Rhinolophus ferrumequinum: one gene and its partner. The protein of the gene in region 2 purifies or fractionates together with the protein of the main gene of each other region. This does not show direct contact. Links are inferred from orthologs where the notes say so. Each region holds a gene or a part of one and is shown on either strand. Other genes may lie near its edges. The genes, in order: ZNF644 and ADNP.

What was found.
Region 1: the proteins of ADNP (region 2) and ZNF644 purify together in Homo sapiens (affinity purification with mass spectrometry; 3 studies listed by BioGRID and IntAct, with this or other methods). This does not show direct contact. The link is inferred for Rhinolophus ferrumequinum from reciprocal best matches to the Homo sapiens genes ADNP and ZNF644.

Annotation. Positions count from the first base shown.
Region 1 is NC_046292.1:68,784,441-68,800,958, forward strand, and holds the start of ZNF644 (zinc finger protein 644), read right to left. Parts: upstream 7,294-16,518; 5' UTR 7,009-7,293; intron 6,934-7,008; exon of another isoform or gene 6,708-6,933; intron 6,551-6,707; exon of another isoform or gene 6,289-6,550; intron 6,218-6,288; exon of another isoform or gene 5,616-6,217; intron 1,566-5,615; 5' UTR 1,497-1,565; intron 1-1,496.
Region 2 is NC_046306.1:8,844,512-8,861,045, reverse strand, and holds the start of ADNP (activity-dependent neuroprotector homeobox protein), read right to left. Parts: upstream 7,750-16,534; 5' UTR 7,588-7,749; intron 5,587-7,587; 5' UTR 5,413-5,586; intron 4,430-5,412; exon of another isoform or gene 4,412-4,429; intron 1-4,411. Other genes in the region: DPM1 (dolichol-phosphate mannosyltransferase subunit 1), read right to left, coding at 11,587-11,691, 12,615-12,729, 15,581-15,649.

The DNA of each region.
Region 1 (16,518 bases), on a different chromosome or scaffold from region 2:
TGTGGCTATTGAGCACTTGAAGCCAGCTAGTCTGAACTGAGATGTGCCTCAAGTACAATACACACACACTGGATGCTGAAGACTTGGTGTGAAAAAAAAGTGCAAAATATCTCAATCATGTTTACATATTATGTTTTGGATATACTGAGTTAAATAAAATGCATTAATAGAATTAATTTTACCTATTTCTTTTTATTTTTTAACATGGCTATAGAAAATTTTAAATCACATTTGTCATTTAGCATACCTCTATTGGGTAATGCTAACCTAATACAATCTATTTATAAATGCCCCACAAACTATCTTTTATATGACTGTAAAAATGAGTGTAAAAATTCAATATTAAGTTTTTTCCCCGCCATAAAGGATTATTACATTAGGAATTATTAATAGTAACTAAACTATTAAGTGCCTATTTTTAATATCCTTTTTAAAAAGTTTAACAAAGAAGCTTAAAGCATTGAAAAGTATAAAAATTTAAGTTCAGTTCTCATACAGCTATAAATTGAAAATGTCATCTACATTTTACATATAGCCAATTTTGAGTTAAATGTCTCCCCAGAAAGGATAGTTATTATTAAACCAGCAGCATTTCTAATCCCAGATATATTATTTCTGATTAAGCTATTTTTCTTCTTAGTCACTCCGTAAAGAAAAAGGCAGCTTCCATTTTGACCAATATCATTGTACCAATGTCCAACAGCCCAGACAAAGAGCCTTTATATGGTGGTATGAATAAACAATGTGGGCAATAAGATACCATTTGAAATAAGGGTAGGCAAAAAAAATGCGCTTACAATGTTAAGTTTTATAAGTAGGAGATAAAACTTACAAATTATATAATTAGGTTAAAGGACAAATACATAGAAAGGACAGGAAGGCAGAATAGAAAGTCTCATCTGTAGAATCAAGATAGGCCTAGATTCAAACTTGGCTGCTCTATTATTTACTAACTTTCTGACCCGAGTCTGTTCCCTTGCATGTAAAATGGAAATATACACATCACAGTATTAAAAAAAAGTATCAGTTTTATCTCCCTTTCCTTTAACACTAATGATTATATATATATATATATATATATATAAAATGGTGATTAAGATTATGGGTGAATTCCCCCCTTTATTTTTCAAACTGCTGAAAGTATTTTTTAAGCACAATTAAACTTCTAGTAATTCACACTCACACCCCTCAAGTGAACTTAAAATTACTTTTACTAGCTGCCTTTTATATTTTTTTTTTAACTTAAAATTTGTGTTGGTGGTAGGGAGGTAAACAGAAGAAAAATTAAAGGGAGAAGTAAGTTTAAGGCCATACCAGCACAGACATATACAAAACAAAGTGTGGTGTGGAAAATGGTAAAAGGAAATGCTGTCTGAGAAAAATCAAGCAACGAAAAGATAACATGCCTCTCCAAAATCTAGCTACTGTTGAAGTCACTCCTCACTCTCATCTGGGGTTTACATGTACATTACATACAAATACACATAGTCACACACCCTCTTCTCTCTGCTAATGGTCACCACCATCCTCATGATCAAAAATTTAGAGGGAAGAAATTCAGGAAGCTGTAACCAAAAAAAAAAAAATATGTATCAATACACTGACTGAGAAATAACCTAACTAAAATGTACCCATTCCCAAGTGCATTTATTCATCAGCTGACAGTCATAAAAGGGAAATGTGTTCCTGAAATACTGAACTGTTAAAATGTTAAAACTGTATGAGGCACAGTGTGATGCCTACCTCTGACTTCCTTTATAACAGCATTCCCTTTGTAGATAGGGATCTAAAAATGAAACACTGACAAAAGTACACTAATCCAAATCACATGTGAAAATTTCAAAAAATAATTAAACAATGGCAATTACTATTATAAAAGATAACATTTACTCAGCATTTGCTGTATATCAGAAAGCTAGTAATACAGTATTATTGTTAAATCCACTTACCTACTGCTCACACAGCTAGATTTTAACCTCACCAGTTGTACTTCAAGGCTTACACTTTCAAATCTTATCTCATCCTGCCTCTTTATTTACATGTACATAATTAGAAATGCAACTATGATTTTCTGTGTATATATAAACTTACATATGTTTGTGTGTGTACATAATATTCAGTAAGTCGATAGTGAGCAACAGGCAATTATCCCAACTTTGACAAGGTTTTTATCTACTTTCACAAACCATTCAACAACTGGGAATCACTCCCGCCCCAATAAATGGTTTTTTGAAAGTACTAGTTATATTTAACATCTTCCTCAAGAAACTGATGAAAAAGATATGCTTTTGAATAAAAGGATAAACACCATGGAAGGATAAAAATGTTAATCTTTTAAAAAATTTGATCAATAATTGATAAAATATAGGTAAATGTGTTTTGTAAACTATAAATTAATCCTAACATTAGTTTTGTTTTGTTTTAAATAATAAGTTTGGCTCATAACATTTACGTTTCTGGATTTTGAACAAAGTCTTAAAAGCTGTATTTGCAACGTCAATGAATGACACACACAGTAAAACACTTAATAACCTAAAATTTTTATTTATCACTAACCAACTTCAATTGCACTACAATCTAGACTAACTAATTTGTTCCTTAAATTTCAAGGAACAAATCAGATCTATACTTTTCACAAAGTTATTCACAAGATCACAGTTCCCAGAATCCCAAATGAATGGGAAGGCTACAGCTTGTAGATGCAGTAGAACAATGATTAGTAAGTAGAGGGAGAGTGTAAAGGAAATCTCTTAGAAACACTAACCATAATCCAGTCTCACCTTTCCCCATTCAAGAGAAGTGTGCACTGCTGCTGCTTCTGCCCTGACATTATCCTCCTTCTCTCCCTTTTGAAATCCTCTGCTTTTCTCCTCCTGGGAAGTTATCTCACAAAACTTGTTTTTCTTGCTAAAATCTCTCAATTGTCAAAGGATGTCTTCAATTTAAAAGAACAAAAACATACCAACTCCCCATAATCACATTAAGAGTTCCCAGTAAATTCAAAGAGAATAGTAACTCCATCGTTCAACTTTGGCAGATCTAAGAAAAAATTAAATTTAACAGGAGAGCAACTGAGGCCCTAGAGATGAGATGAGAAAACCTTTTTCATAGAGACTCCACCTCCCTGAAGAGAGACTATGAATTGAATTTGGTGTTTTATCATCTAGGTCTCAAGTGATCTTTATGTTTTTGTTTGTTGTTTTTTTTTAAGAGGGGAAAGAAGAGAGATACTTTAGCCAACCAGCAGGGTGAGCTAGTGCTAGAATTTGTTTGATTATTCTCAATTCTCTCAAAATTCAGTGGTGTAAATGGCTTACACTATTAAAAGCAGCTATTTCCCTCTAATAAACCTAAAGTAAAAGACACTACTTCTAGAATTGCTTCAATCAGTGCTACATCTCATTAAGTTTGTTTAATATTTACAAAACAAACATTCTCTATACCAGAGGGATTAATAAATAAATGTAAAAAAAAAAGCTCATTTGAATATTTATTCAAAATATTACAGTAGCCATCTTTTATTCTCATGGGTTTTTTTTATTTTATAGGGCAATCGATGTTTTTAAAAATTAAGAACACTTTTTTTAAAAGGACTCCTAAAATTAATGTTCTATAAAATTAGGACTGAGTAATTCAACATACCAATTTCTGCATTCAGTGCAAACTACAGCTGCCTTAAGATCTGCCTGCAAAGCAAGCAGTCACGAGAAAAACATTCCTACAAGAATCAGGTCCACTCTTTTCCTTTGGAATCACAACCTGAGAAAGAGTCTAAATAAGTAACTCAAAACTCTAACTGTGTTTGGGATGAGAGAAAGGTGAATCTGATCTTTTCTGACAACCAATTTCTCTCAAGTGCAGATATCCCAATCACTTCTAGTGACTGTCCTTCAGTCTTTCTTTTCTCCTCCTGCTATCCAAAACAATGTCAATTCAACCACAACCAAAACTCTCCCCCTTATAACTTGAATGACAAATTAAACCTGCAAAATTTTTAAGGTTTGCAAATGACAGATTCACTTTATAATTGTAAATATTCTGGGAGTAATTCTAATTATCACAAGACTAGCGTGTAATTAAATCCACTCATATAGTGTTGAAAATTTAAAAATAACTTACCAACTTTCTTAGAAAAGGCAATAATTTAAATGCACCTTAAATAAAAGCTTTAAAACCTCCATACAACTTAACCATTTTTGTTAAATTTGATATCCAAAAAAGTTCAAGATAACTATGGCGTTCCACTATAAATGATTTTACTACTTGTTGAAAGAATTTCCTAATAGATTTTACAGAACTACTACTCAGTAGCAGTAGTCTTACGTTGTTTCTAACTAGAACCAGTATTAAAAGGCATGTTAACTTACCCAACTAAAATACAGTTACAAAATGAAAGGCACTAGCACCATTGTTTTCAGCATCTCATTTCTTATGTAATAACTGGTAATAATGGCAGTTATTTCAAACTTTCCAAGAAGTTTATCAAGCTACCTTTTTTTTTTTCTTTTTTTTAAATCAAGATTGGGTTTTGAGGGGCGGCCGGTTAGCTCAGTTGGTTAGAGCACGGTGCTCTTAACAACAAGGTTGCCACAGGTTCGATCCCCGCATGGGCCACTGTGAGCTGCGCCCTCCACAACTAGATTGAAACTACTACTTGACTTGGAGCTGATGGGTCCTGGAAAAACACACTTAAAATAAATAAAAGTTTTAATAAAAAGATTGCTTTTTGAAAACCCCCAAATTCAAAAGCAACATTGCTCTGAAATGTGTTATTTTTTATCTGAATTTGTTTCACTGGAAGTATTTTAAAAACTAAGTTATCATATCATGTTAAATGTCTTTTAACTTGTCAGTTCTAATAAACAGCACCTAATTAACAAGTATTCTCAAACACACTTCCTTGTTTTACTTTTTAACCATTATTAGTTACAGAGTCACCTTCTCATGCCAGCAACATAACCAATGAAAACAGCAATGGGGTAGAAGTTGAGAATTTTCCATTATGCCACTAACTTAATCATCTCTGACCTTCAATATAGCATAAGAGAGTAAGACTAGTTGTTCGAGATTCCTTCCACTCTAAAACTGTGTAATTCAGTAATACATTTTGCTAATGCTAATATTGCCTATTTGTTAATACAAGAAGACTGTTCTCTGTTAGGAGAAAAGCTAAAAGCAGGGAAATCTGGAGGGAAAATAAAAGGAAAAGGAAAATTTTAAATAAAGTTGAAAAGTTCAACTTGAAATTTGAACAGAGATCTAAAGTTAGTGATCGAAACGTGTTTAAGTATTCTTTCAGTCACTTGAATAATTTTGTTAATGTGACATGGTCAAAACATGAGTTGTTTCCAAATTTTGTACTTCAAAAATTAGTTAATACCAATATACAAAGTATAATGCAGCCATTAAGCGCAGTATAACTTTGTTAGAAATTCTAACATTTACACTGCCATAATTTTAACAGCAATAGATATATACCATGGCATTAATATTAGTCAAAACTTCATGTTACACCTATTAAAATGTCTAAATTATAACTTTTTCATAAAAACTATTTTTTTCTTTCCAAACCTACCAATGCAATATTGCTGCCATCAAGTTCCCTGGATACTTACACATGACACTGAAGGCAAACAGCCGGTTTCCTCGCTTTGAGCAACTTGAGTTGTCTATTTTTGAAATGCTTTACTTCTTGCAGGACCAAAAAATATAACCAAACTACTGCAGAGAGGCAATGTACTAGTAAAGCAAATTTAATCTATCATCCGGATGCAACAAGCCTGGCATTAGTCAGGACTGGCCAGAATAGATGATGGTGTTTTGGTATTTCTGTTGAAATTATTTAATTTGTATACAAAACAGGACCATCATTCAGGCCCCCAGTTGAATTTATCCCTTGTTGAGTACTTCTCAATGACCACACAAAATTTGAAGTCTAAACATAAAAGTTCTATAACAACTAAATTTACGTCAGTATTACTTAAAACAGTTCAAGAAAAGTTTTCCACTAATGTTGCTAAACCATGGATGGATCCCAACACGAGAGTCGTCTGCGGAAGTCTCGTAACAAGAAACCTTTAGCTCCACCACCTAAGTTTCCAATCACTGAGAAGGGTCTGGGACAACTCATCTTCAGGTTCACGGGAGAAGTGGAGCACACCTGCTTTCCTCTGGCAGAGATTAAGCTCCCAGGGACACAAAGGCCAGGGAATCAGACCTGGAGAAGCAAAAAGCTTTAGCTGGACACCCACCAAGCCCCTGGCAACCCAAACACTTTGAGCGATTTACCTCTTGCTGCTACTTCCCGGACACCTAGCGGCATAAGATCTTGCAGAACAGGGGGAGGGGAGGGCTATGCGGTCCTGGTCCCATGTTAGGGGAGGGATGTGTACAGTTAACGCTAGAGCTGGCGCTTCTGGCCAAGCCGGGGCAGCCACGAAGAGAGGGCTTGGTGACTGCTCTCGGACCGCCCCGTTACTCAGTGCATTGCAATGGCGACCGCCAGGCTCCCCAAGCCGCCAGATCTGGGCCCCTTCCCCCTACTGCTCACTGGCTGCTCGTCTTCATGTGACTAAACAAAACCCCCAAGTCTAGTGCCCAGCTCAGCCCCTTTGTGTCCGCTACCGGGTCCTCCGACGCCGCCGTGGAAAGGTCCTCCCCCTACCGCCTCCGCCGAGTCCCGCCCAGCGGCGGCGGCCGCCGCTCACCTCAGGTTCCGCCGCCCCCCGCGGCCGCCGCGGCCGCCACCTCCCCGAACCCGGGGCCCGGGCTCCTTGTATAGCACCAACTCCGCCTCCTCGGCCGCCGCCGCCATCTTAGCCTGTGCGGCAAAATGCGTCCTTTTGGATGGTTGGGACCCAGCCTAGGGCGTAGCTCCCCGGGCCCAAGCGCCGAAGGCCGGGTCCCCCAACTTCTTCCGCCACCCTCAGTCCCGCCGCCGCCACAGCCCAGAGTCCCGAAACCCACTCGGGTCCCGGCGAATCCGACCAAATAACCCCTGAAACTCACAGTTTGGTGCCGTGTGCGTCAAACCGGGGCGACGTTGGGAGCGCGCGGCGTCCCCGCGTCACACGCTGCACTGTACGCTACTCGGCTCCAACGGCCCCCCTCCGCTCCCCGCTTTTCGCCTCCGGCCCCGGTTCCCACGGCGCAGGCGCGCTGCTTTCCCGCCTCTACCGAGCTGCGGGCCGCGGGGGTGGCCAGTGAAGAGCTCTTGGGCAGCTTCGCGCTGGTGGAGCTCCTGGGCCAATTAGACAAACCGGGGAGCAGAAACAGTGCACCTCTGTTGTCGGGTGCCAGAAACCAAACAAGGTCACCTCCCCCAGCGCTGACCTAATCACTCTCAAGGAGGTTCCCGCCCCAAAGTAGGCACGCTCCAAATATGGTGGTGCCCAAACTCTGCAAGACCCAAACACTTAGGCAAGCCTAGGCTCTTTAAGGTGGAACAGGCCCATATTTGATTTCCACAATCACTAGCGTGCCAGGATTCCTTTTCTTTTCCTACTGTTGAGGAAAACAGCTAAAGAACTCAAGTTGCCAGTTACGACTGCAGAGTAATGGCAGAGGAAGGTTTTTGGATTTGAAGGGGAACAATTATTGGGAGATGCTTGATGGCCAGGCAAAGCATCAAATGTGGCATCTCAATTAGCGGAACAGCCTACCCTCAAAGGTGCCCTGGGTTTGGTCCAATTTGAGTCTGATGATACTTTCTCTCTGCATTACTGAATGTGCATGAGTCTCCAAATTAAAGCGATATAAGAAGCACCTGAGCGAGCATGGGTTAACCTTCAAAGAATCAGTAGGCCCCAAGAGAGTTCTGGAAATCTTTCTTTTAACAAGCATCCACTATGGGAGTCTGAGGGCAGAGTTTCACACTTTGAGAAACACAAATTAGAGGCTATTTCTGTCTTTGCTTTTGAACTGAACAAACAAGAAGTTGCTAACATGTTTCATATGAACCAAGTTCAGAGCAATCTTCTAGTCCTGCCTTAATAAATTCTTTGGCTTTTCTGAATCTCTGTTTTCTCATTAAAAAAAGGAAAAAAGTTTTCATTAGTTTAGCAGCTATCATAATCTGTGCTCCTCCAAACCTTCAAGATGTTATTGGCATTCAGAAGAATACACTGTAATTACACTTATTTGAGAACAGTAGGAAACATTCTTTTTCCTATAAGATAGTGACTTCAGCAGCAGCAGCAGCAAACATAGGTTCCAAACAACAGATACATATACTTGCTGCATTCGTTTATAATAATAGCTAACACTTCTGAGCGCTTACTATGTGCCAAACATTGTTTAACTCATTCCAACCTAATAAGGGAAAGAGAGGTTAGGTAATTTTTTCAAAGTCACACATCTCTTTGGACTCTTTCAAAATGCAATTTTTCTTTCTTCACTTACACAAATCGATAAACAATAAAATATTAAAAAAAAATTTTTTCAGCCAATGGTGGGGTGTCCTTTGGGTCATTTCATCTACAGAATCCATTAAAATTGGACATTCTCAGTTTAATACTGACTTACAATAAACAATAAAAGTACTATGTACTATGGATATACTCACAATATTGTATCACTACAGAAACAGTTACCAACAACAAAAAAAACTCAGTTGTGGATGTACACTACTGACTGACTGATGTGCAGACAGAGCATACCACAAGAAAGTAGAACTACTTACAACTCAATCATGATCAGACACTTATCTCACTAATGAAGCTGTTTATACTAGAATTCAACAATTAAATGGCAATACTAAAGAAATAGTAATAGTAGTAACTGTAATAGTCAAAGTAGTAATAGTTGATGAAATTTTATAAACAAAATATATGTCAAAAAACTTTCTATAAGTGGGAGAAAACTAGATAAGGGCAGAAAGCTTGGATAAGGTAATGTGTAAAGAAATTGTAAAAAGCAGGCAAACTGGAAAAATCCAAGAACCAGTTATGTGGCTCAATGCCAAAATATTTAAAAACATTAAAAGGAAATTGTAGTTGAGAACGAAAATCAAGATGTAAAAAACAGTTTGGCCCCGAGAGAAAATTCACAAAGCACATCTACTCACTATAATAAAATAGTGCTCTGATGAATTCACCTGATGAAGAATCGAGAGAGAGAGAAAGAGAGAGAGAGAGAGAGAGAGAGAGAGAGAGAGAGAGAGAGAGAGAGGCTGAGAGAGCGAAAGAAAGAAAGACCTGGCTATTGTTAATATGTTAAAATCTGACAATATTAGACAATATATGAATCCATTAGTTATTCCAGTGAATGGAATTACCCAATAAAATATTCAAATAAGCTGTGGTCTCAAATGACTTAATCAAAAAGGAAATGCAATTGTTTTTGTTGGATAAAAGCAGGTAATTCTCAACATTCCAATACTTCTGAATTCCAGGCAAAAAGAAAAAATGAAACACTTGATTAATCTACCATCCTAGTAATAAAGTCAAGTCAAAATTTGGATTTGTCTTAGGACCTCACAAGAGATGGTTCTGGACCCATCTCTGAGTACCAAAAGTGCAAGGCAGTCTCATCTGTAAAACTGCAAATATTATAATATGTTCATTAATTAGGGTGGAGTAGGAGGATGTTTGACATAGAGAGAGATGAAGAAGTAAATACATCAAACCTTATTTTTGTCTCACGGTAACCTCAGCACAGAGCCTTACACATAATGGGCATACAATAAATAATTCAATTCAACCAATATTCACCAATTGCTTACTCTATGCAAGGTACTGTACTAGGCACTGTCAGCAAAAAGAGAAATAAGACAGTTCCTTGTACATATTCAATACGTAGTTGTTAAATAAATGAGGAGCTTTGTATAGTCCAATAAAAGAACTAGACAAAAAGGTATCATCAACTCTCAATTTACCAGGGTATGGGAAAGATGAGGAAACAGAAAATAAAGATTTCAAAATCATCGTTAAACAAAACCTTGTAAAACAGGGTACAAAATAGGTTTAGTATAACTATATTTAGTAAAAATTATATCTAATATTTAAGAACACATTTATTACTCTAACTCTCAGTTATCCGAAGTAGACCATGAGAGTATATGAGCTTTTTCACAGAGCACATATAGAGAAAGTAAACAGTGGGCCACAGAAACGTAGATAAAAAATATTTAAGGAATTAGTAGAGAAAAAGTCCAAGAAAATAAGAAATGAAGGGACAGAGGAATAAGAAGAGATTCAAGCAAGAGTGTAACAAGCAAGAGCCAGGGAGCTATTGGTAACAGCTTACTGCTGCAACAAATAACCCCAATCTCCATGGGTTACCATAGTAAAGTTTTTTTCTTATTCACATCACACTCTACTGAAGTCAGTGGGAAGCGGGTGGTGGAGGCCTGGGAGCAGTTATTCAAGCACCTAAGGTCCTACCGTTATATACTTGTATATGCCTTTGCCATCCCCTTAGAATCTTCTACTGGATCCTCTGCAAAGAGAGAGAGAACACACGTGGAGAATCATGAGTGTGACAAGGTGAAGTGGCCAAGCCCGGAAGTGGCACAGGTCACTTCTCACTTTCCACTAGTCAGCACTCTAGTCAGCACTCTAGACAGAGGTTGGGGAATGTAGTTAGGCTCTATGTCCTGCAGGAAAGGAAATGGGACTGGTGGGCACAAAACAGGGTTTCTGCACATCCTGTGTAAATGTAGCAGAGAGGTTATGAGAGATAAGTGGTGTCCATTGGCTATACAAGATCACTGGGGACCATGGTGTGAACAAGATCAGTGGAGTGGCTCAGCCCACTGCAGTGGATTTGGGAAGAAAGGGGAAATAGTAACTGAGTCTGATCAACTTTGGAAACCTAGCAACTGGACTCACAAGGCTGAGAGACAAATGGAGGCTTTAGTTAAATGCCACTGCTCCAGGATTCTTGGTAATTAATCAGCCAGCCTTCTCCTGTTAAGATAAAAACTCTCACTAGCCTTCTTCAAACTCCACACACATTAAACTTAAGAAATGCCTTCATTGTTTATTTTTTCCAAAGTGAAAGATTCCAGATGTTCCGGAATATTTGGTTGAGATCCATCCAAGGAAAAAGGGCATCTGTAATTTCAGCGATCCATGTGCTTTACTAAAGAAAATGAACGTAAAATAGTAAGCCAAAATATTACACTATATGTGTTGATTTCCTTTGTTATCAATATTGAGAGATAAAATTGTACAAATGTGTTTAATTACATGATAATAATTAGCAATTGGACTTTGATATCTAACTTAATTGTAAATGAAATTAAATGTCTTCAAATTGAAACTTAAAATCTCTATCATGTATTATTTACTTAAATTTTCTAAATATATTGTAAGATGGAAAAGAATGGTGGTTGCAACCTTCAAAAATAGATTTAGATAACAATTAGTCTGAAATAGAAATACAGGTCTAAAAATTAACTTGGTGATGTCATCTTTATTTTTCTGATCCATTTCTCTTTTTATTCCAGAACATTGAAGTGTCTCTTACAAACTGTCAGATCCCTTCCTGATTGCCATACTTCACCCTCAACATAGAATGGCTGTGGTCTCCAGGAGGCTGATAAATTTAATCCTTTTTTACCCAGAGACGAAAGATGCACTGAAGATACAGACCCATCATCTCTTCTAATATTCTTGCAGTGCCTACAATGTTTCAGGCATTGTACTGGGCTCTTGGACAATGTAAAAATAAATAGAACACATTCAGCTCTCACATATCTTATAGTAAAAGAGATCAAAAGTCATATACTCAAAGTGCTATTTGCAAGACAACAAGTGTTGGAGAGGCTGTGGAGAAAAAGGAACCCTCATACACTGTTGGTGGGAATGCAGATTGGGAATGCTATGGAAGGCAGTGTGGAGGGAGGTTCCTCAAAAAAATGAAGAATAGAATTACCATATGACCCAGCAATCCCTTTCCTGGGTATCTACCAAAAATATCTGAAAACACTTATGCATAAAGACATATGTGCTCCAATGTTCATTGCAGCTTTATCTATGGTGGCCAAGACATGGAAACAACCAAAGTGTCCTTTGATAGATGAATGGATAAAGAAGGTGTGGTATATATACACAATGGAATACTATTCAGCCATAAGAAAAGATGAAATAGTACTGTTTGCAACAACATGGATGGATCTTGAGATTATAATGCTAAGCGAAATAAATCAGACAGAAAATGTAGAGAACCATATGATTTCACTGATATGTGGTATATAAAACTGAAAACAACAAAAGAACAAGACAAACAAATGAAGAAACAAGAATTCATGGACATAGACATAGTTTAGGGGTTACCAAAGTGTAAGGGGGGGTTCTAGAAGAGAGTGAACAGGGTCAAATATATGGTGATGGAAGGAGAACTGACTCTGGGTGGTGAACATACAATGTGAGATACAGATGATGTATTACAGAATTGTACAGCTGAAATCTATGTAACTTTACTAACAATTGTCATGCCAATAAACTAATTTTTTTAAAAAAGTGCTATTTACGTTTTAAAGTTGACAAAGAAAAGGTCAGCTTATTGTTCAACTAGTGCCTCAGATAATGATGAGAATGCCATTGAGTCATTTTCCTCTATGGTTTCACTCTTAGTTTTGCAGGTTGAGAATCAGTTAAACCAGAATTGATCAAGCTCAGACACATGAAACATATAAAAGACTAATGTATAAATCACATGTGAACATATTAATTTACAGTAAAAGTTTTGACTGTCAAACACAATGGTATACGCAGGCAGACTGGTCATCACGTTCCCTCCCCTGTAGAGAAGGGTGCTGGGAATACCAAATTATTTGCTCAATGAGCAAAGAATTATACAAAAATGATCTTAACAGATGGTGTCATGAAACTTTGATAGCAAACTGCACTCTGCCATGAAGACGTACCTGTCAAGGGAAGTTGAACATGTTAGTCTGCTCTCACCAGGAAAATAACTCTTATTTTCCTTAAAGATATGTAAAAATACATTAAAACCACAAAAAGATAGAGTATTTTATAATCCATAATGTCATCAATCCTGTAACACTTTTTAAAAAATATTGTAACATCTCTGAAATCAAGATGTGTTTTACTATAGTTTGTAATTGGCAATCTTTTGCTTTCTTAGGGGTTCATAAAATAATGGCATATCTTTCAATCAGTGATATCTTAGAATAATGGCCTGATGTTTCTAGAAACTCCTCTAATTCTGTTTTGGTAAATTGACTTCCATAAACTTAGTAGTGGCCCCAATATATCATTCTTCTAAGTTTAAAACAATGTCAAGCTTTAATCTCCTTAATTCATACTCTGATCAGGCCGTTATAATTGAGCTAATTTCCCAAATGCTACAGAACATTGGAGGACAGTTCATGCCAAGTTCTTTCTTTGCTCCTTAAGTAACCCAGAAGTAACCTTCACAGTTACTTTGACACCACTTGTTGCTGCAGACCTCTTAACAACCCTGCACAGTTCCTTAAGGGAGTCTCATGTATGCTCAGGAATAGGTCCTACCAGTTACCTCATTACTCCCCTGATACAACAAGCTATCTTCAGTGGCTACTGTGACCTTCTACTAGAAATGACTGCCTCCCACATGGCACCACCATTTGGGGCCAGGCACCTCCATACCCATAGCTGACAGTCTGGAATACACATGGGAGTAAGACATCACTGGGATTGTTCATCTAAACTTTTATTTCTATAGACTGATTTTTAAAAAATATTTACCCACAGACAATAGTTCAGTGGTTACCAGAGGGTAAGGGGGGTGGGGGTGGGAGATGAGGGTAAGGGGGATCAAATATATGGTGATAGAAGGAGAACTGACTCTGGGTGGTGAACACACAATGGTATTTATAGATGATGTGATACAGAATTGTACACCTGAAATCTATGTAATTTTACTAACAATTGTCACCCCAATAAATTAAAAAACATATATATTTATCTACTATGTGTCAGGCTCTTTACTAGTCATTGAAGAGACGGTAGTGAAAAATCCATACAGTCACTATGTACAGTTGTGGAGTTTGTGCACTGCACAAAGATACTCAGCCAAATAGTGAATGGATGCTAAAATCCAGCCTGTTCTCCACTCACCAAATCATGCCCCTTAGTACAGGGCTGAATCTTTCTTCAGGAAAGGATGCCTTCTTTTTCCCACAAAACTGTCTTTCCTTCCAAAATAATCCTAGCACCCAAGGGCCTACCTCAGCCTATTTCTAATTCTTCTGCTCAGAGTGTCACCTGTTTCAATCCCCTGCCCAGGGAAGGTCTTTTTCTAATTCCTCTTTCCTACTTCACACAAAGGGAATTGATAGGTCAATGGGTCCTAACTACTGAGTCCCTGACCTCAAGGAGCTTACATTCTAATGGAGGAGATAAACAAAGAAAAAAACATTGTATAAGTATAAGATAGGAGTAAGCACCCAGTAGCACCTCAGAAACAGCAAGAAGGAGGACCTTAGCCAGTCTGGGGACCAGGGAAGGCTCCTCGGAGAAGGCTGTCTCTGACTAAAACCATCTTCCCACTCCCTCACCGGGGCTAACTCCTACTCATTCTTCAGGTTTTAGTTAAATGTCCTTCTGTCAGAGAGGCTTTCCCCCACCCCCTCACCTCACATCCCCCCAGCACTCCACACTTTTCCTTTGTTTCACTCATCTTACATGTACAGTCAACTCTACTATGACTAAACAAATGGGGCCCCAAAAACTCGGTTTTGTAAATTATAAGGTCATATTATTATATTAGGAAGTAACGAAATGGCTGGAGAGAGCCTACATAGTTTGCTGGCTAGAGCTCCAGGGGACTGGCTGTGTGCACAAAATCCACCCTGGTCTCAGCTAGAGTTGAGAGCAATCTGCTGGTACCTACCTGACTTCTCCAGCTTGAATACACTAGGTATGATTCCAGGTCCTATGACTAGCTGGGAATTCCAGGATCGCAGCACTGGTTCCAGGAATCTCCCAGTCACTTGACATTCATTTCGTCTGTTGAATCCAGAAGGACTGGCTTGGGAGAACACTGAGAATGCAGCATCTCACTTCCTCCATTCCACCTGCCTCTTCCCATTCCAGGCTAAAGCCCACTGCATTTGAAAATGGGAACTCGGCAGAGGACAGGATTAATGGTCAGGTGCATTATAGTTGGTTTGTGTTATCGGGGAACGTGATTTTACTCTATGTTATTTTCTACATCATTGTAGATATGAATTTTACTATAATTACTTGCTTAATGTCCACCTCCTCCTCTGGACTATACACTGCATGAGGACATGTTAGGTGTTCGTATTACCTCCCTTACTCATAGTATAGTTAATTCATATTAATTGCTTAAAAAGTATTTGCTGAACTGAATTGATGTTATATCTAAGTTGAGACCTAAATGACTTTTAAAAGCTAACTGGGGAAAAGAGTAGGGGAAGAGTATTCTGTGCAGAGGGAACAATGTGGAAAAAGCCGAAGAGCAAGAGTATGTGGCATGTTTGGGGAGTGGCAAGTAATTCATATGGCTAGAGTATAGCACATTCATGGAGAGTGAGGAGTGGTAACAATTGAAACTGGAAGGGAAGCAGAAGTCAGATAGATCTCAAAGGTCGAGAGACTTGGACTTTCCCCAAAGGCAGTGGGAAACATTGGTGGATTTTTAAAAAGAAATTATGTGATCAGATTTGCATTTTAGAAAGGTCTACAGTGTGAACATTTTACTGAAGGGAGTAAAACTTGATGCAGAGAGAGAGAGAGGGATATTTTCGGGATAGAGCCTGGTGTCTGTATAACGATAGCATATGTTAAAGGAAATTGTCATGTTCTCAGCCCACACAGAAAGAGTCCTCAGAAGCCATGCTTTGTACTTTGTAAGCCTGTTCCCTCTAACACTTGGCTGCAGCTGACTGGGCCATAGTAGGGAACCTGATCCAAAGAAAACCAAATTCATAGGCTGACAAGTGGCCTATGATATAACTGGCATGGAAAACAGTAATCAAGACAGTGTGGCATTATGATAGACAAATTGATCAACGGTAGAGGATAGACAGCCTAGGCATAGACCCACAGATACATGGTGAATTAATTTTTGGCAAAAGTGAAAAGTAGAGAAAGAACAGTTTTACAACAAATGATACTGGAAAAATTGAATATCCATATGCAAAAAGTTGAACTTTGATCCTTATATAAAAATTAACTCAAAATGAATCATAGACTTAATGTAAAACCTAAACCAAAAAACTTCTGGGAGAAAATCTTCATGAGTTCCAGTTAGGCAAAGATTTCTGAAATATGACACCAAAAGTACAATTCATAAAAGAAAAAAAAATTGATAAAACAGACTTTATCAAAATTAAAATTTTTTGCTCTTTGAAAAACTCTGTTAAGTGAATGAAAAACAATGCACAGACTGGGAGAAATATTTTGCAAATCACATACTGCTAAAGGACATATATCCATAATATATAAAGAATTCTCAAAACTCAATAAGTAAACAAATAACCTGATAAAAAATAGACAAATGAATTAACAGGTACTTCATTAAACATATACTAATGTCAAATAA
Region 2 (16,534 bases):
TGATCTAGATTCTTCATATTTATTTTAAAAAAAATGTGGGTCATTCCTTTTTTAAGACTTTCAGACTAAAAGATTAGTGCCTACAACTGGAAAATGCTATTATGTTGCTGCTTATCCTGTTACTTTGAGATTTCAGACAAGAATCCTAGCTGTCAATATCAGCATTTCTAGAACACCAAGGGAACCAATGGTTTTCAGGATATACTTGAGAGTGCTGAGAGACTGTAAGATACATATACGGATGGAGATGATGCCTGATGGAAAAGATGAAAGCTAAGCAACTGCAACCAGAGGTGTGGCCCCCTAACCCTTAATCGATGTTATCTACTAGAGTTCACATAAAATTTTATTTGAAAGGGGGAAAGACACTTCACTGCTTATAAAGAAAAAAAGACTGAGAATATCTCTAACATCGCAATCTAGCTTTAGGGAGTGCGAGATGGGGAGCATTTCCCAATTTACTCCTTTTGAAAGAGGCATTCCTGCAAGGCAGGGCCGTGTCATGGGGAGTGACTTCAGCACTCTGCTGCCTACATAAGAATGCCACAGGCTCAGAAAGGCTTGCTGTCAATACAGGTGGAAAACCTGGCTTAAGAGAAACGAGAAAAAGGGAAATTAATTCACAAGTGGGCCTAGGAGTCCTCTGGAATCATTTCAGAAACATGTTGCTGGGTCTTTGCATCTAAATGGCATAAGACAAAGGTAGATTATTTTCAATCCCTTAAAAAGTTTTCTACACTCTAGCAAAACTACTCAGAAATAATTTTCCCATAACGAGAAATTATTTTATTCATCATTCTTGAAAAATAAAAAACATTTAAATCATCTTCTTAAGTTTTTCCTAAATCATTTCCTAGAGTCAAGGCTTAGCTAGCCAAAGCATTTATTCTTTGTAGCAAAAATATTATTCTTACAGCAGGTTTTGACACTTGATGGCTACATTTTCTGCAGAGAAGTTTTATTTTTATTTTTCTGGTTTTTAAGTCTATCTTGATCTTGATTGAACAAGAACTGAGCACTCCCTGTGTTTAGGACACTCCCAGTCTCAGTTCATCTCTTTCAAAAGAGCAAGAATTCTAACTGTTGACTTAAACTGACAACTCTAATTTAAAAATCTAACAAATTCTGCCATATTTCCACTAGACAGAAGTTTCTTTAGATACACCAGGTTTCAAAAAAGACCACTCATACAGGCTCTCAATTGTTACCAGCTTTCACCAGAAAAGGAAAGCTTTACAGGTTTTCAAGGGAAGCACAGGTTTATACAAGCTCTTACATGGAGTATAAAGCACTCAGAATGGCAGAAATGGCAGAAGGGCAAAAGCCAGCAATTATCTGTCTAAGCAAAAATAACTGCTCACAGGGGAGAAAGAACAAGGCTGCCCTAACTAAAATACTAGGAAAAGCAAGGGACCCTATAAAAATTTTCTTTTTTGATCCTTATACAAGTAACTTCAAACCAGACATATGCTACTTCAACTCACGGCCACCAACACAATTTTCATCTATACTGTCTTGCTGGGGGTATGGCTAGCTCGCTCCTTTAACTGTGGAGCCCATCAGGGATCCTTGGGTGTTAGCTGACATACAAGCACAAAACATCACTATGAAGTTATGAACTATTCATCTGAGCCCTCATTAATCAAACAGCTCACAGGAGCATTATAAACGCCTGTGTTCCAAGCACAGGCCTGGGAACCAGCCCAGACATATTCCCGGGCTCACTTCATCATTGCATGTGGTAGTGCCTTCATTTCCCTACTTGTGAAACAGGGACAGTCCTGAGAGAATTGAGAATGGTTTATAAGATACTTGGAAAACAAAACGGGCAAGCCGGCAGTAGTAGTTTATAACACCATAAAGGCCAACAAGGGGCCGTGCACACTGACAGCTCATCTTCATTAAAGGGACCAACCGAGTCATCTGAGAAACGTCACAGAAACACAACCCAAAGCTGAGTGACTCAATTACAAATCTACACACCCTTACTGGAGAGGGAATTAGGACATGTAGGGATTTATTTTCAATTCTAAGGGCGGGTCAAACAAAGGGTGAGTCTCTTATAGATTATGTGCATGTTTTTTGAGTTAAATCTTAAACTGCAATGTATGTTCAGGGCAGTCTTCCCTGTGCGAACTCTTATCAAAAATCTTTTATGCCCTCCTCTTAATTTCCAAACGTTTATTTCTGGAACACTGCTGAAATTCTTAAGATTTTAGGATTTCTCTCACTGTCGTCTTAGAACAATGCTAGGGATCAGTAAAACCAAGGCAGCTTATGAGTGCATCTCAAAGAACAACTAAAGGCAAAGAGCAGTGAACACACATGTGGAGATGAAGGAACCCGGAACAGAAAGATTGCAAAGAATTTTGCATTTTACACTAATAGAATAAAAATGTGCACTCCCAATCAAAACTGGCATTTTACATGGTTCGCTCACATTTTATCTGTGACTGTGTGTGTGTGTGTGTGTGTGTGTGTGTATATATATATATATATATAAAATCAAGTCGATATATACGCTGTCCCAATTTGAGAAGCCTGGTAACATGTGAGGGGAGCCTTCTCCCAGTGAAGCAGAATATGGATCTCATTGAAGCTGACCCCTAACCTGGCAGATATCAAAGGTATATAGGTCATGTACAAAGCTGAGGTGTAAGGAGTACGAAGACACGGAGAGACTGAGGGAGCACCATCATCCTTCCTACCACTTTCTAAGTAACAGGATCAGGCAAACAGGCAATAAAAAACCATGAAGTCACAGAGGAACTACGGCCACTCATGCTGGACAAAACATGGATGGTTTCTTTTATAAAGTGTCTCAACAATCAAGGTGGAAAGTGCCGATGTGTAAACAAGAAACAGCTTTTGCATTCAAAATAACAATTCAGTTAATTAGTGTCGGGCTTTGGTTCATAACAGTTTCAAATGCCAAGTTTCCAAACAAACAACATAAAATGTGCAACTGACAGCGATGCACATCAGTAAAATACGGCATTTGCTTCAGATTCAATATCTCAAGCTCTTACAAAACTAAAGGACGAAAAACTAAGTTTATATGATGCCAATAACAACACATCAAGCTCTGTGAATCTAACTATAATTAAATTATTCACATAGGGGAGCAATATTTTTCGTAATCTTCATGTCTCTTTAGGCAAGTAAGTGAAAGTTACACTCTCATGGAAAGTATTTTATCTTCTGGAAGACATAACAGAGTTTCTGACCTTGTTTTAAAGTGAAAGTCCTGTGGAAGTCGAGGATGAACAAGTAGCTTATAATGCAATAGTACTGGGCATCTTGGTGTAAACTACAAATTAGCTTCTAATCTTATCAAATAAAAACATCAATTTTTAAATACTTCCACAGCATTTTTAAAAGTTTATTTTACTAAGATTTAAACAGATTATTTAAAAAAAATTTATGTTAAATCCTGATGGTTTCCTCTGCACTTACATTTCCAACTCTAAAAACGCAGAATGTATTTTATGTGTATATACATACAGACCCTGATTAATGGAATTAATCTGTCAAGATCTATTACAATTTATGCAATTCTTTCGTGTTTCTCAAAAGAAAAATACACTTAAATTCTGAAGATTTTATCTCTTCTCTATTCATCCTTATTTGCTCTTTTATAACAGAACAGCTCTATCTTCCTTATTAAACTAATTGTCAATTAAATGTGTAGCCAACATGTGCACATCTTAAATACAGACTGCTGAGTATTTAAAATTTCAAAATACTAAGAATTATTTTTAACATTTTTCAAAATTTATAAATAGTTACAAGGAAAGCAACAATTTAACTCATAGTGTATCTTATATAATGATGCTTTTAGTAATCAAATATAAATAATACATGCATGTATGTTATAATGAAAATCAAAAGCTATTTTACTTGATAAAACCCTACTGGTTGGTTATTTGGTAGCAAGCACACGTTCATGGAAAGGCCGGTTCTGATCAGAGAAACTTCATAAAGTTTTTAGAAGCTTATCAACTCTTGAGATTGGGGCATCAAAATAAGAGTAACGTAATCTGTTCAACATGCTGATGGTTAATTTTAACATAAATAGTATTACAACTTTTCCTGCACTCTGGTTTAAGGGAAAAAAGAGAAAATTTAAGCATAACAAATTCACAGTGGGTATGTTTAAAACCAATGACTTCCAGATAGGTAGGGCGAGGCCAACTGCCAACATTTTCTGTATAGAGACTATAAGAACCCAAACAAAAGATTTAGCTAGTTCAACGTAGAGCACCTCTAGTAAGATAGTCTTAAGAAACTGTCAACAAGAACCAAGATGAAGGAATTTCTACTTAAAGTTCAATTAAGCAGGATACCCATACCCCACCATCTAGTTAACTGAGGCTTTTTACTATACTTTAACGAACCCCTCACAATTTACCTAAATTCCAGCCTTCAAGCCCAATTGTTTCACCTTTTTTTTGTTTTTGAGTGTCAAAACCAGGAAACCTTTGAAACTGTAGAATACATGCTTTCCTAAGAGCTCACAGCAACTTTTCCTGTAGGGGGAAAATGGCTATTACCACTATGGACATCAGTTAACACTGTATCTTATGTATAATTTGCTAAACAAACAAAAGAATCTTCAGAAACTTCATCTCAAACAAGAAATTGTCTTCAAATTACTCATTTAAAAACTCATGTAACTGTACATCAAAGACCAAATACAGGTCAAAATCATATGTTTAACAAATACTAAGTATTTAAAATTACAAACAAGCATTTAATATACGATTCTTGCAATTATTAAATAATTGCAAAAGCAATATAGTTAAGTCTCTAATGGAATACCTGAACCAAACTGCCTCCTGTTCACTCACCAAAATGTTACTTGATAGCAAATGTCCAATGAAAAGTCTCCCTTAAGCACTAACTGGTTAACTATGTATCAAAAAATACACCCATTCTCAAAATATACATCCATTCATTTTCCCATAAATTGATCTTGATATATCTACATAAAATACTTGTAACAAAGTCTTAAAAATATCCTTGAGTATTAACAACCACTGTCAATCTTTGGTAGCAAGTACATGTTCATGGAAAAGCCTGTTCTGATCAGAGAATCTTTAAGGTATTTTAGAATCTTAACAACTCTTGCGATTAGATCATCAAAATAACACAATAGAAAACTTAACATAGTTTATATACAAGAGTGCAGAATGGAAATTATTAAAACAATATTAGCAACTTAAAGTTTCTCTCTTAAGCCATAAGTCATTTCTCTGTTCAGAACCCACAACTGCAACCAGCTCTAACCGGTTCCTTGAGGAATGTGGCTAGGCTGAAATTTTGGAAGTGTTGGCTTTGGTGGTGACCAAGGAGGAAATCTCTGGCTTCCCTGTTGCTGCAGTTCCCACCCTCCAAAATGAATATACCCACCGGTGTGAATTGACAATGTGGTCCAAAGAGCAAAGCAGGAACGGAGTCCAGATCCTCAAAATGGTAGTACAGGGCATAACCACTAGGCCACCTATCAGTTCAGTACAAAAAGTACAACCCTGTGCATCATGGTGCAAAAGCTGGGGCCTAGGTTTCGCATTGTGCATCTCACACCTATGGAAATAACAAGAGGAGTAAAATCTATAGAAATCAACACACCCTAAGAAGGTGGGTGCTCACAGAAGACCAGTGTCAACACTTTTGCAAAGGTGGTTGGCTACTGAGACAATGAGTGGTAAGTACAAGTCCAAAGTTGGAAGGAAACAAAATTTTACAATAAACTCTGTTGAGTTTGACAATGAAGAACTCAACATGGGCTTGATGTTTACCAACAAGGCTTTGCAAATCATGACACCCATCTACAGGCTTATGAAAATTACTACCCCACTAGCATCCCTCAAGAATAGTTAACTCTCCAAGAGTTGGAAAGATTTGGGCCATGAAGAAGGGAGGTAATCGGCAATACCCCAAACTCAGGCTTTAAACTTTCCCCTTTACCATCTGACCTTGGGAAGATATGGTGAAACATTCAAAGTTTAAGGGTGGAAGAATTCCAGAAGGGGAAATCTGTGTACCAAGGATGTGCCAAGGTGATTCGTGAAGAACAAATGTGGATTGTCTGGAGTCAACAGTTTGGAAAAAGTAAAAAGACAGAACTTCTGAAGTGTAGGTTGGATTCTTTTAAAGATATAAAAATCACTGCTCTTGACTCATTTAATCCTTCGCCATGTTGCTGCTGTCAGCTCACCAAGAGTGCAGAACGTGTCTTGCTGGGCCCATTTTCCCATGGTCTGTAGAAGGCGCTGTGAAGCACATCCTGTTCTAGCTCTGGGGCCCTTCCCCCCTCTGCAGCCTTACCCAGTGCAGGGAATGCGCCCCCTACTGACTCCAACACTCATCGCCTTTAGCCGACTTGGCTGCGGTGCATTTTGGGTGGGGGCTGGTATTTTCTTCATGGCCATAAACCAGAAGCAACAATGCAGATTTATAAAGAAACTGTATCAAGCTACCCAGGAGATTTCTTTTTTTTTCATTTTGAAGGTTCAAGGCACTGGCACGAGAAGCATCAGGAATAGGAATTGGGTGTGTGTGGATGGACAGCATTAAAATGGCAAGCACAGGAAACAGTTTGGTTCTTTTTCCCTCCTAAGCCTTTGTCTGAGAAATGGGGTTATGGCAAGAACTGTCCAGAGAAAATGGTGAATGCAAGAACATCAAGAAGACTTAGTGTGGGTATGTGTGTGGCTAAAAAGGATATTAGACCTTAGCGCCTGGTGTTGGGCAGAAGAGGAAGAGAAGCAATCGCGCCTTTTCCAGCAGACAGACATCCAGGTTGGGGGTGGGGAGGGGAAGGCAGGCAGGCAGCCCAGAGGAAAGAAGAGGTGAATAAAAGGGTGCTCAAAGAAGTACTCCCCATTCATTGCATTAAAAAAAAATCTTCTCGCAGCGTTCTGGATTTCCATTTTCTACCATCTTATTGCAAAGTTGGGGTGCACAATGATTCTAAGAGGTCGTGCTGACCAGGCAGCTGCGACTGAGTGAAGAGGGTGGTGGTGGACTCCGTGGTCAGGATAGGAGGGGAGCTGGCATGTTGGGGAGGAAAGATTGCACGGGAGAGGTAAAGACTTTCACTCCGAGCCATGCATGCTCCCCGCCCCCCATTCTGTCCCCCTCCCCCCCAGCTAAGGGTGGGTAGACCAGGCAGGAGGCTCGTCGCAGGCACTGGGGGTGTGCGTGGGGGACTCGTTGAGGGGGGCGGGAGGAAAGGATGAGTTCCAGGGATGGGAGAAGCTCGGTTCTTGCTGGGGGCGGGGTGCAGGGAGATGCCATTAGCGGCAAAAGCTCCGGTGGCCAGGCTGGCTGGTGGCCTCCGCGGGCTCTCGGGGCGGGGAACGGGGGTCGGGCTGCAGGAGGAGGCGCCTGGCCCCCGGAGCAGAGCCGGGTAGCGGTCCGCGCGGAGCGGGCGGTCCGTCAGCCCCGGAGTGTGCAAAGGAGCGTGTGTGGTTGGAGGGCTGGCAAGCTAAACAACAATGCGCCCCCGGGGCCGGCTCGGCGGGAGCCGCGCGGACCGAGGGTCGGGAGCAGGGCCGGATCGCGGGGCCGCGCGCGGCTTACCTTGACTCGGCCTCGAGGCGCGCACGGGGCCGGCGTGCTCGGGGGCCGGGCGGCGGCGGCGGCGGCGGGCGGATGGCGGCGGCACGGCGGCGAGGGCGCGCCCGGGGCCTCGTCGCGCTCTGGCTCGGTGGCCTCGTCGGGCTCCGGCTCGCGCCGCGGCCGCGGCTGCTGCCGGGGGGCGCGGCGGGCGCAGCAGAGCGGCGGGCGGCGGCGGCGGCGCGAGCGGCTCCCTCCAGTCCCCGCGCGGGCGGCGGCGGCGGCAGCAGCGTCGTCGAGCGGTGCAGACAAAGGAGGGGCGGAGGGACGAGATGGAGGGTGTGGGAGAGGCCGCTTCACCGGCGCGGGCAGGCGGGCGGCGGTGGCCGCGCTCCTCTCGCTCCTCAGTTGCGGGGACCGAGAGAGGGAGCTGTGTCTGAGGAGACGCCAAAATCCCCCTTAGCGCTGCCCGCGGGAGGGGGAGGGGGCACAAGATGGCGGCGGCCGAGGGGCGGGAGTTCAGCTCATGGATCCCGGCGGGCGGCGGAGGGGAGACCGGGCCGGCGGAGGCGGCGGCGGCAACGGGCGGGGGAGGGGGCTGATCCCGCGTCTCCCCTCAGCAGACAATACAAGCGCCTCGGAGCGAGTCCCCGAACCTGCCCTAGCCAAAATGGCGGCCGAGAAAGAGCGGAAGTGACGTAAGTACCTCATTAGCATAAGAGGACTCATTGTCCAGCGAAGTGGGGGGGCAGTGAGGGACAGTACCCTTTCCCCACATGTCCCCCAGGCACAACTCTCTCGCTCTCCTGTGCTTGCACCTAACTTTTCCTGAGGGAGGGTGGCACCGGCACCCCTACCCCTGCCTAAGGGAAATTATATAATCCCCAGTGAGGGGGAACTCTCGCGAGAACCAGGACAATTTGCCATTGACCCACTAGGAGGCGCCGCGGATAATGGCCGCAGTGCGCTTCCAGGGCCCGTGTGCACGGTGGGTGCCTTCCTCTGCCCGCAGCGCCGGCGGCGGAGGCACAAGCAGAGGGCCGCAGCACGCCCTGCACTCAGTCAGGTGGCCGTGCTGGGGATCCCTGCGCGGGCCCAGCTGGGCCTGGACTACATCTGGCGGGAGGGGGCGTGCGGGCAGCCCTGCGGCTCCACGTGCTGCACGGCGCGGGCTCTCACGGGCTGGGCAGCAGCGGCCGGCAGGGATACCTGGCAGGTTGTGCCGACGCCTCCAGCCTTAAATGAGGTGTGAGGGCCTCATGCTTCACACACCGACTTGAGATGAGCCACTACCCCAGGGATGCCTGACCCATTCCTGGTAGGGTGGGCTGTTCAGTGGGCAGGGTCTGTGTTTTACAGAAGGCAGGCTGCTGCCCTGAGACTTGACGTTCTTCCAAGGCCGTGATGGGCTCTTCTCTTTGGCCTGAAGAAAACAAATGGGATCCCTAACGCCTTGAGGCCACTGGGCTGGTGAAGCCTAAGGATGAGAAATGATGTTTCCAATGGACCTACCCCACAATCCTTAAAAAACACACTTTGACTACAGTCCTAGGGACACTTTTAGTGCTCCCACAATCTGACAGCGTAAGACAGCATCTAGGCAGTTTGCCTTTGTAAATGTAGGCCAACCCCAACCAACACGTTGCGGTAACAAACCCACCTTTAAGAGCAGAATGCATCTAAGAGTGTATCATTGACTAAACATACTGAAAGTAAATGCCAAGTGTGAAGGATTAACCAAGCCTGTTTCCTTAAGATGTGCTCTGTAAATACACTTATCTTTGCTGTTTCTCTAAATTTCAAGTTAACATAGTTTCAAACTATACTTAACACCCCTAAAGAATCTTAATTGAAAAATAGTACAAATTATGGTTACATGTATCTCAATGCCTACGCCTTCAGTTGGCAGGTTTAACAAGCTGTTTCATCCAACAAACACAATATTCCATTAATTTTTGAAACTGTGATAAAATAATATCCTTAAAAGCCAAATCAGTATTCCAAAGGAAAACAAAAGCTGAAAAAAACTGTAAAAGAAAAGGGGGGGAGGGGCAAAGCATCTGATTTAGGGACAAAGATGAAGACTCTAAATTCCATGTTGCAGAAGACAGGCAAAAGCTAATGTGAAATAAGCAAAATAATTTTATCTTAGATTTCATACAGTGATAATACAAATACAAAGAGAGAACATCTGGATTTCATCCTTGGCCTCATTTACAAACTAAAAAGGGATGCTGGATTCACATGTAAATGATTTTACAGTGTTTAAGTCACCACATTTACTACAAAAATGAATCTAAATAGTTCAATATTCTTTTCTAAATAACTTCCAAATGGTGAAAGTCTTCAATGCTCAAATACTTTCTTTACTGTAAATTCCAATAGTGATAGCGTTGTTTTGTAAGAATAAGAACCAAAAAGATTAAAAAGGCAAAAGGTATCTACTCGAGTGAGGTCTGAGAAAGCAATAGGCCCAGTGGGTTCTCTGAGGTATTTAATAGTTACTTCATCTCTGCTACACCTACTTGACAGTAAAAACTGAACTTCGGGTTTACATGAAAAAGAAGAGATTCTAAACACTTAAAAAAAAGAGAAAAAAGATTATATTACTATTATGTTCACTTAAAACTAATTTTACATTGAACAGTGATGAATTTTCTAGTCAATAATGAGAGAAGTCGCTTCCCCAAAGAAGGTGAGTACCTGGTGGGCTGCCACCCAGCTCAGTGTAAACGGGAAATAAATAATAGTAGAGGCTTTTATTGGAATGTGTCCTGTGGATTCAACAATGGAACATGTAATGTTCAAAATGACACCAAAGGTTTTATACTCTGGTATTCATTTCTGGTAGGATCTGTTAGAAATGCAAATGGAAAAATCAGACTTTAAATTTCTTGACTTTAGCAGCCAAATTAAGCCAGAAAAGTGTAGTAATTAGGAATACTGTCCATTAAATATGCTTATTAAATAACTTAAGAGATGCTTCTTCCTTTTACTTGCAAAGGAAAGTCAACTTGATCTTAGGCTTATTTGCTCACAGTATGTATTACCCAAAAATTTAAAAGATACTGCATGATGCAAAAACTATGCTAGTTAGAAACAGATCTTTTTTGAAATACCTACTTGAGACAAGGCAAACAGAATATTTGCGCTGGCTTTATTGAACAACTTAACCTGCATTTTAACTGTCAGAACACTTCTGAACAGAGAGGAACTATAGAGAATTTTTGTCTTATTAGTAAAGATGTTGAGGGTCCTGAAATAATATGAAAAGAAATATTTTGAGAACAAAATCTTTGCATAGTTTGTAAGATGTTTTAAAATTACTCGAGCCACTAAAGTTTATGCTTTAATACCATCAATATTTTCCCTTACTGATAGAAGTTATTGCTCAGAAGAAAAAAAAGCAGCTGTGCTATCAACTGCTGTCAAGTTATTTCTAATTCACAATATGTATTTTAAAGACTTGCTTTGACAGATGAATAGCTTCGGCAATTCAACAGCTACAAAGAACCAAATTGTAAAATTATGCTCTAAATGTACTGTTTTATCTGTTTAAGAAATTTGAGGTTCATTTTTAAAGAAAGGGCAGAGATGTGTATTTCTTTTTCAGTTCATACAGAAAGTCATATAATATTTCATGAATATAATTAGCATTCCTATTCTGACATCTGCTAAGGTACAAAGAGCTATGAATCCAGTTTTTATAAAGAATATTTCAAAATCTTCCTCCCGTAATAAATTCTGCATTCACATACTCTACGAAAGCAATGTTTTATGCAAAAACCCCATATACATTTATTTATAGGTCTTAATACAGCAAAATGTAAATGAAAATTGAGAACACTGCTCATTTTTCTAATTTGACATATAAAATGGAGTTTCTTTAGAAAAAAGATTTGCGTGAAATTTACCTTACCTTATGATTTTGCTCTAAGAGTACATATTATAAAACTCAGCAACCAGGCAGGCTTCCTTTATGTTTAAATTGAAATGAACATAATATAAATGCATAACTTTCTTTTATGTAGTAGCAAAGAGAGTCAATAATCCTTTCAGGAAAGAGACTATTTCATTTCCTCCCAACTTGGATTCACCATAAACACGATCCACAAATGATATTGGAACCTAGTTAAAAAAATAATACATTAAGTCAGTCTTCAAAAATATTAGAAAGAAAGCATAGCAGGCATGCAAAAATTACTAATACAGCAGAAATAAGATTAGTCCTACAGTAGCAAGTCCTTCAATTAAGTTCAGAATTAGGGGACTCTTATAGCAACTGTGTGCACCTCCAAGTCTTCAAACATGCATTTTATTACCTAAAACTAGACCATATGAACCAAGTCGACAACTGTTTGAGGAGTATTGATCCTGCAGATTAAGTTAGTTTACCCAAGTTTCAGACTGCATTTCAAGGAAAAATTATACTCCAAAAGTAAAATGTCCTTTCACTTAATTTTTTTCATTAGTCCATCAAATTAAGCTGTCACTGTTTTAGTATTAAGTTAAAAATCTTATAATTTCCACAAGAGAAGTGGCATTCTAGTCAGCTATTTCTTGCTCTGCATAAGAGTATTAGTGTTAAACGAGGAGAATCTGCCCGAAGTTCACTAGCTAGCTGTAAATATTACAGACCCTGCCCCCGCAATGCCTGTCTTTTTCATTTACTCATAGGAAATGGGCAATGGGTGTCATCATCCATTTTAAAGTAGGGTGGCTGTTGTCTATGGCAAGAGGAAAAGCAACAAATCAACTCATCCCAGAATGCTAAGTGAAAAAAGGGCAAGGATGGAGAAGGTACCAGTAACTTTTAAATTTTTAAAAGGGAATGCTGCCTTCCATTACTGTTTTAAATCTTGTAGGTCAAATGTATTAATTTGAAAGGGATGTGATTGTTCACTCTTTAGTGTATGGACAAATTCTAAACAACTGGAAGCCCTCCAAATTTATTTAGTAGTTCTGAAAGTTAAACATTTTATCATACAAAGACTAAACCTCATTATTTCTTTATGAGGAATACAACACACTAATTACCATCAATTGCATACCTCCCCAATAGAATAATTCAACTGTCTTGCCCGAACAATCATCTCCATCTGGAAGACGTAGCCTTTAGAAACACATTTTTCTATTAATTTCTGTAGAACTTCTTTTCGGTATAACCTGTACAAAATCAAAATATATATGAACACCTGCGTCAATACACCTGCCTACATGTATCCTGACCTTTCAAAAAGTTCACTGATATTTCTAAAACCTAAAATTTTCAGTAGCCATTTGGATATAGAAAAGTTCTCATAGTAGATATGATACATTTGTCCTGAACCAGAAAGGTCATGAACTATTTTGTAAATAATTTAGAATAATTTTGAAAATGTGTTTAGCATCTTTTAGAGAATTATTTTCCTACCATACTATCAGAAATAAAAATATGGAAAACTGAATCATTTGAAGCAGAACCACTCATTGAGTTTTTAAATTTTCTTAAAATTTACTTTTAAAGTTGAAAGAAGAGAAACTGTTTCAAATATTGGAATAATAGAGGTGATAGGTGAAGAGCAACAATATAAACTAGATGACAAGAATCTAGTAATCAACAAGTGTTTCCTCCTAAATATTTACGGTGAGTTTCTATTTCCTAAGGTCTACTAAATAAATTCCTGGGATAAACGAAGTCTCCCCATGATGAGCCTGGTTAAGCTAGGTTAAGACAGGAAACTGGCACCACGAGATTGAGGCCATCATGGTAGGACACAGATATCAGCCATTGAGGTCCCAGTTAGATACTTATAATGGACAAATGTGCAGCCTAACTTTAGACAGACTGCAGGCCAAACACAGAGCCCATTTTCAGTCACTGAAGTGAAACGAAACACAAATACAACAGCGACAACAAAAAGCCCCCCCAAAATCAGTCTCAGTCAGTAAGAAGGCAGCAGTCTCCTCCCGCCTCCCTTTTAGAGCAAGTTAGGAGAGGCATTTTGGGTTAACTGTTCTCTCTGGAGTTAAGTTCACCTGGATCTACAATGCCCGAGGATTTTACCTGGAACCCACATTTCCTCCCCCCCCTTTGCCCCCCCCGCCGGCTTCCTCTAAGGCCACCTTGCCTTTTGGCTTTTCAAGCTTTTAAGTGAATATAAGACAACAGAAAGCACATTCCTTAGAGAACCTGAGAAGGACTAGTGTGTGCATTCTTTTGCCCACACAAGTTCTTTAAGAATTCAGAAGAACCAGTTTAGAATATATCTGAAGTGACAGGAGTCTGATGGCGGCTGTGAGGCACCCTGGCCATTCCTCTCCGCGCTGTGTTTTCTCCACAGCACAATCCCCACATGATGCTGCATGTATTTTATGTAGTCGTAAGTCTCTTGTCATTAGAATGTGTAAACTCCATGAGGACAGGGACTTTATTGTTCAATGCTTGGCACTCAGTAAGTATTTGTTGGATTTAAAACGAATCACCCTTTAGCTTTTCTGAAAGCATCTGCAGAGCTTCCAATAGGTGAAAGGGCCCTTTGATGAAGTAACTAGGTGACCCAGGCCTAAAAGCAAGGCCCCCAGCTCCCCAATCCATGAAGCCACCCTGTGTTTTCATTCACTCATCAGACCTGTGGCTGCGAAGCCCATACTGGCCATTCCCTCTGTAGACACGTTGTGTTAGGATTCTCTGCATTGTTGCTACATGGCAATCAGTGATCTTATCAGATAACATTTTATTCCTTTGCTTTGAACTGCGGAACTAAAGGGATGTGTTTATGGGCCCCAATCTGTCTTTTATACACCAAATTCTGCTTTCTAATAAGTTTACATTTTAATTCTAGAGAGGCTTCATTTTCATTATTTGACCTCTAATTTGTGATGGTTCCTCTCTTTCATTTTTTGTTGTTCTTGGCTCATAAGTACTTTCATTTTACTAAGTAAGGACATTAAAAAAAAAATATTCTCTCTTCACCTCTGTCTTGCCATCTCTGAACTGATATTTAACAGACTTGCAGCTGTACTACAAATACTACCGTGTTTCCCCGAAAATAAGACCTAGCCGGACAATCAGCTCTAATGCGTCTTTTGGAGCAAAAATTAGTATAAGACCCGGTCTTATGTTATATCATATCATATCATACCCAGTCTTATAGTAAAATAAGACCGGATCTTATATTAATTTTTGCTCCAAAAGACGCATTAGAGCTGATTGTCCGGCTAGGTCTTATTTTCGGGGAAACACGGTAGTTACCTTCAACAGCCAGCTCCTAATTGGTGTGTGTCAATTCTAACGAAGGACTGAAGAATCAACATTAGTGGAAAAAGCAAATATCAACTAATATAAATTATTAATGCATAGGGTTTGGGCCTTAAAAATAGATGAACGAACATAGTTTCAGAGATAAAAAGAATTTGGCAGTCTTTAGTCATTTGGCATGGTCATGTAAAACAGTTCATGTACTATAGCAAGTCTCACATTAAACAAGAATAACAAAAATTAAGAAACCTCAGAAACCTAGCAGGAGGCTTTGTGCCAATTAAACAAGAATTTTGTTTTTTTTAACATAAAAAACATATAGAGACCAAGGTAACCGAAAAAAATTCTACGTAAATATTAAAGATTTTCAACTTTTCTGTAGAGACAATGCTATAAATATTCATAGAAAGTGCAGAGAATTCCTGGAAGCAGTGCTGTTCTTTGGAGCACGTGACCAGTGAAGCCTCCTGCAGGATGAGCAGGGACTGGGCACCGTGGGCCAGGGGCCTCCATCCCCAGGGGCTGATCATTAGACGTTAACCTAAGCCCTGCCCTCCACGGTGCTCTGTAAAAAGCACAATTATTTTGCTTAAGATGATGCTTACGGCTTCCTCAGCAGCTTCTAAAGAACTTCAGTCTGCCTCTTTTTTTGTTCCAGAACAAAAAATGGGGTAGAAATGAAAAGCATTTCTTTAAAATAAGCCATTGTAAAGCCAAGAAATTTAGGCAAGAAGTTATAAATAGTAGAAAATATAAAATTACACGTTTTCACTGTACCTGAAGCTTCCTGTTAAATCAGATGCTCCCGGTCTCAGCAAAATCTGAGTTACAAAATTGGCCCCACGGCTGTCAAATACAACAATCAGATTTTCTTTATAAATACCATTTCTAAACAAGAGAAACACATCCAAGAGCAGAGTACTAAAAATGCTACACTAATTTCATAAATAAATGCAACACTATTTCACAAAAATGTTCATTCTGTAGAACAAGGAAATTTTTAGTCAGTGAAAGGAGATCTGACATTTCTGATTTTTCAGAAAATAGGGAGTTTTATTCATTGAATATGACATTCTGTCAAACTTTAGCTATGAATGATAACAGATTTTTTTACTGGTGTATTTGCCAATAGCCATCGTTTTGGAATTCAGAACATCAGTCAGCCAGCAAAAGAGATCAGAGATTTGGAGTTTCCTTTTCAGATTCTAATAAGCACAACGGGATAGGAGTTTCAACTAGGTAATAGGTCAGTCCACATAAAAATGGCACCTTTTATTTCTTAAAGAAGGTGTGCAAGTGGGAGAGGGTTTTTGGTTTTTGGCAATCTCTGGAAATTGACCAAATATTCATTCCGAGACTTACCCTGTTTCCCCGAAAATAAGACCTAGCTGGACAATCAGCTCTAATGCTCCTTTTGGAGCAAAAATTAATATATGACTGGATCTTATGTTACATACTGGGTATGTTGTATTATACCCAGTATTATATTAATTATATTATATATTATACTATACTATATTATATAAGACTGGGTTTTATATTAATGTTTGCTCCAAAAGACGCATTAGAGCTGATTGTCCGGCTAGCTCTTATTTTCGGGGGAACACGGTAGTCAGCTTGGGCTACACTATATAACGAAATACCAGGTGAGCTGGCTGAAACAACAGATATTGATTTCTCACAGTTCTGGAGACTGGGAAGTCCAAGATCAAGGTGTTGCTGACTTGGTTC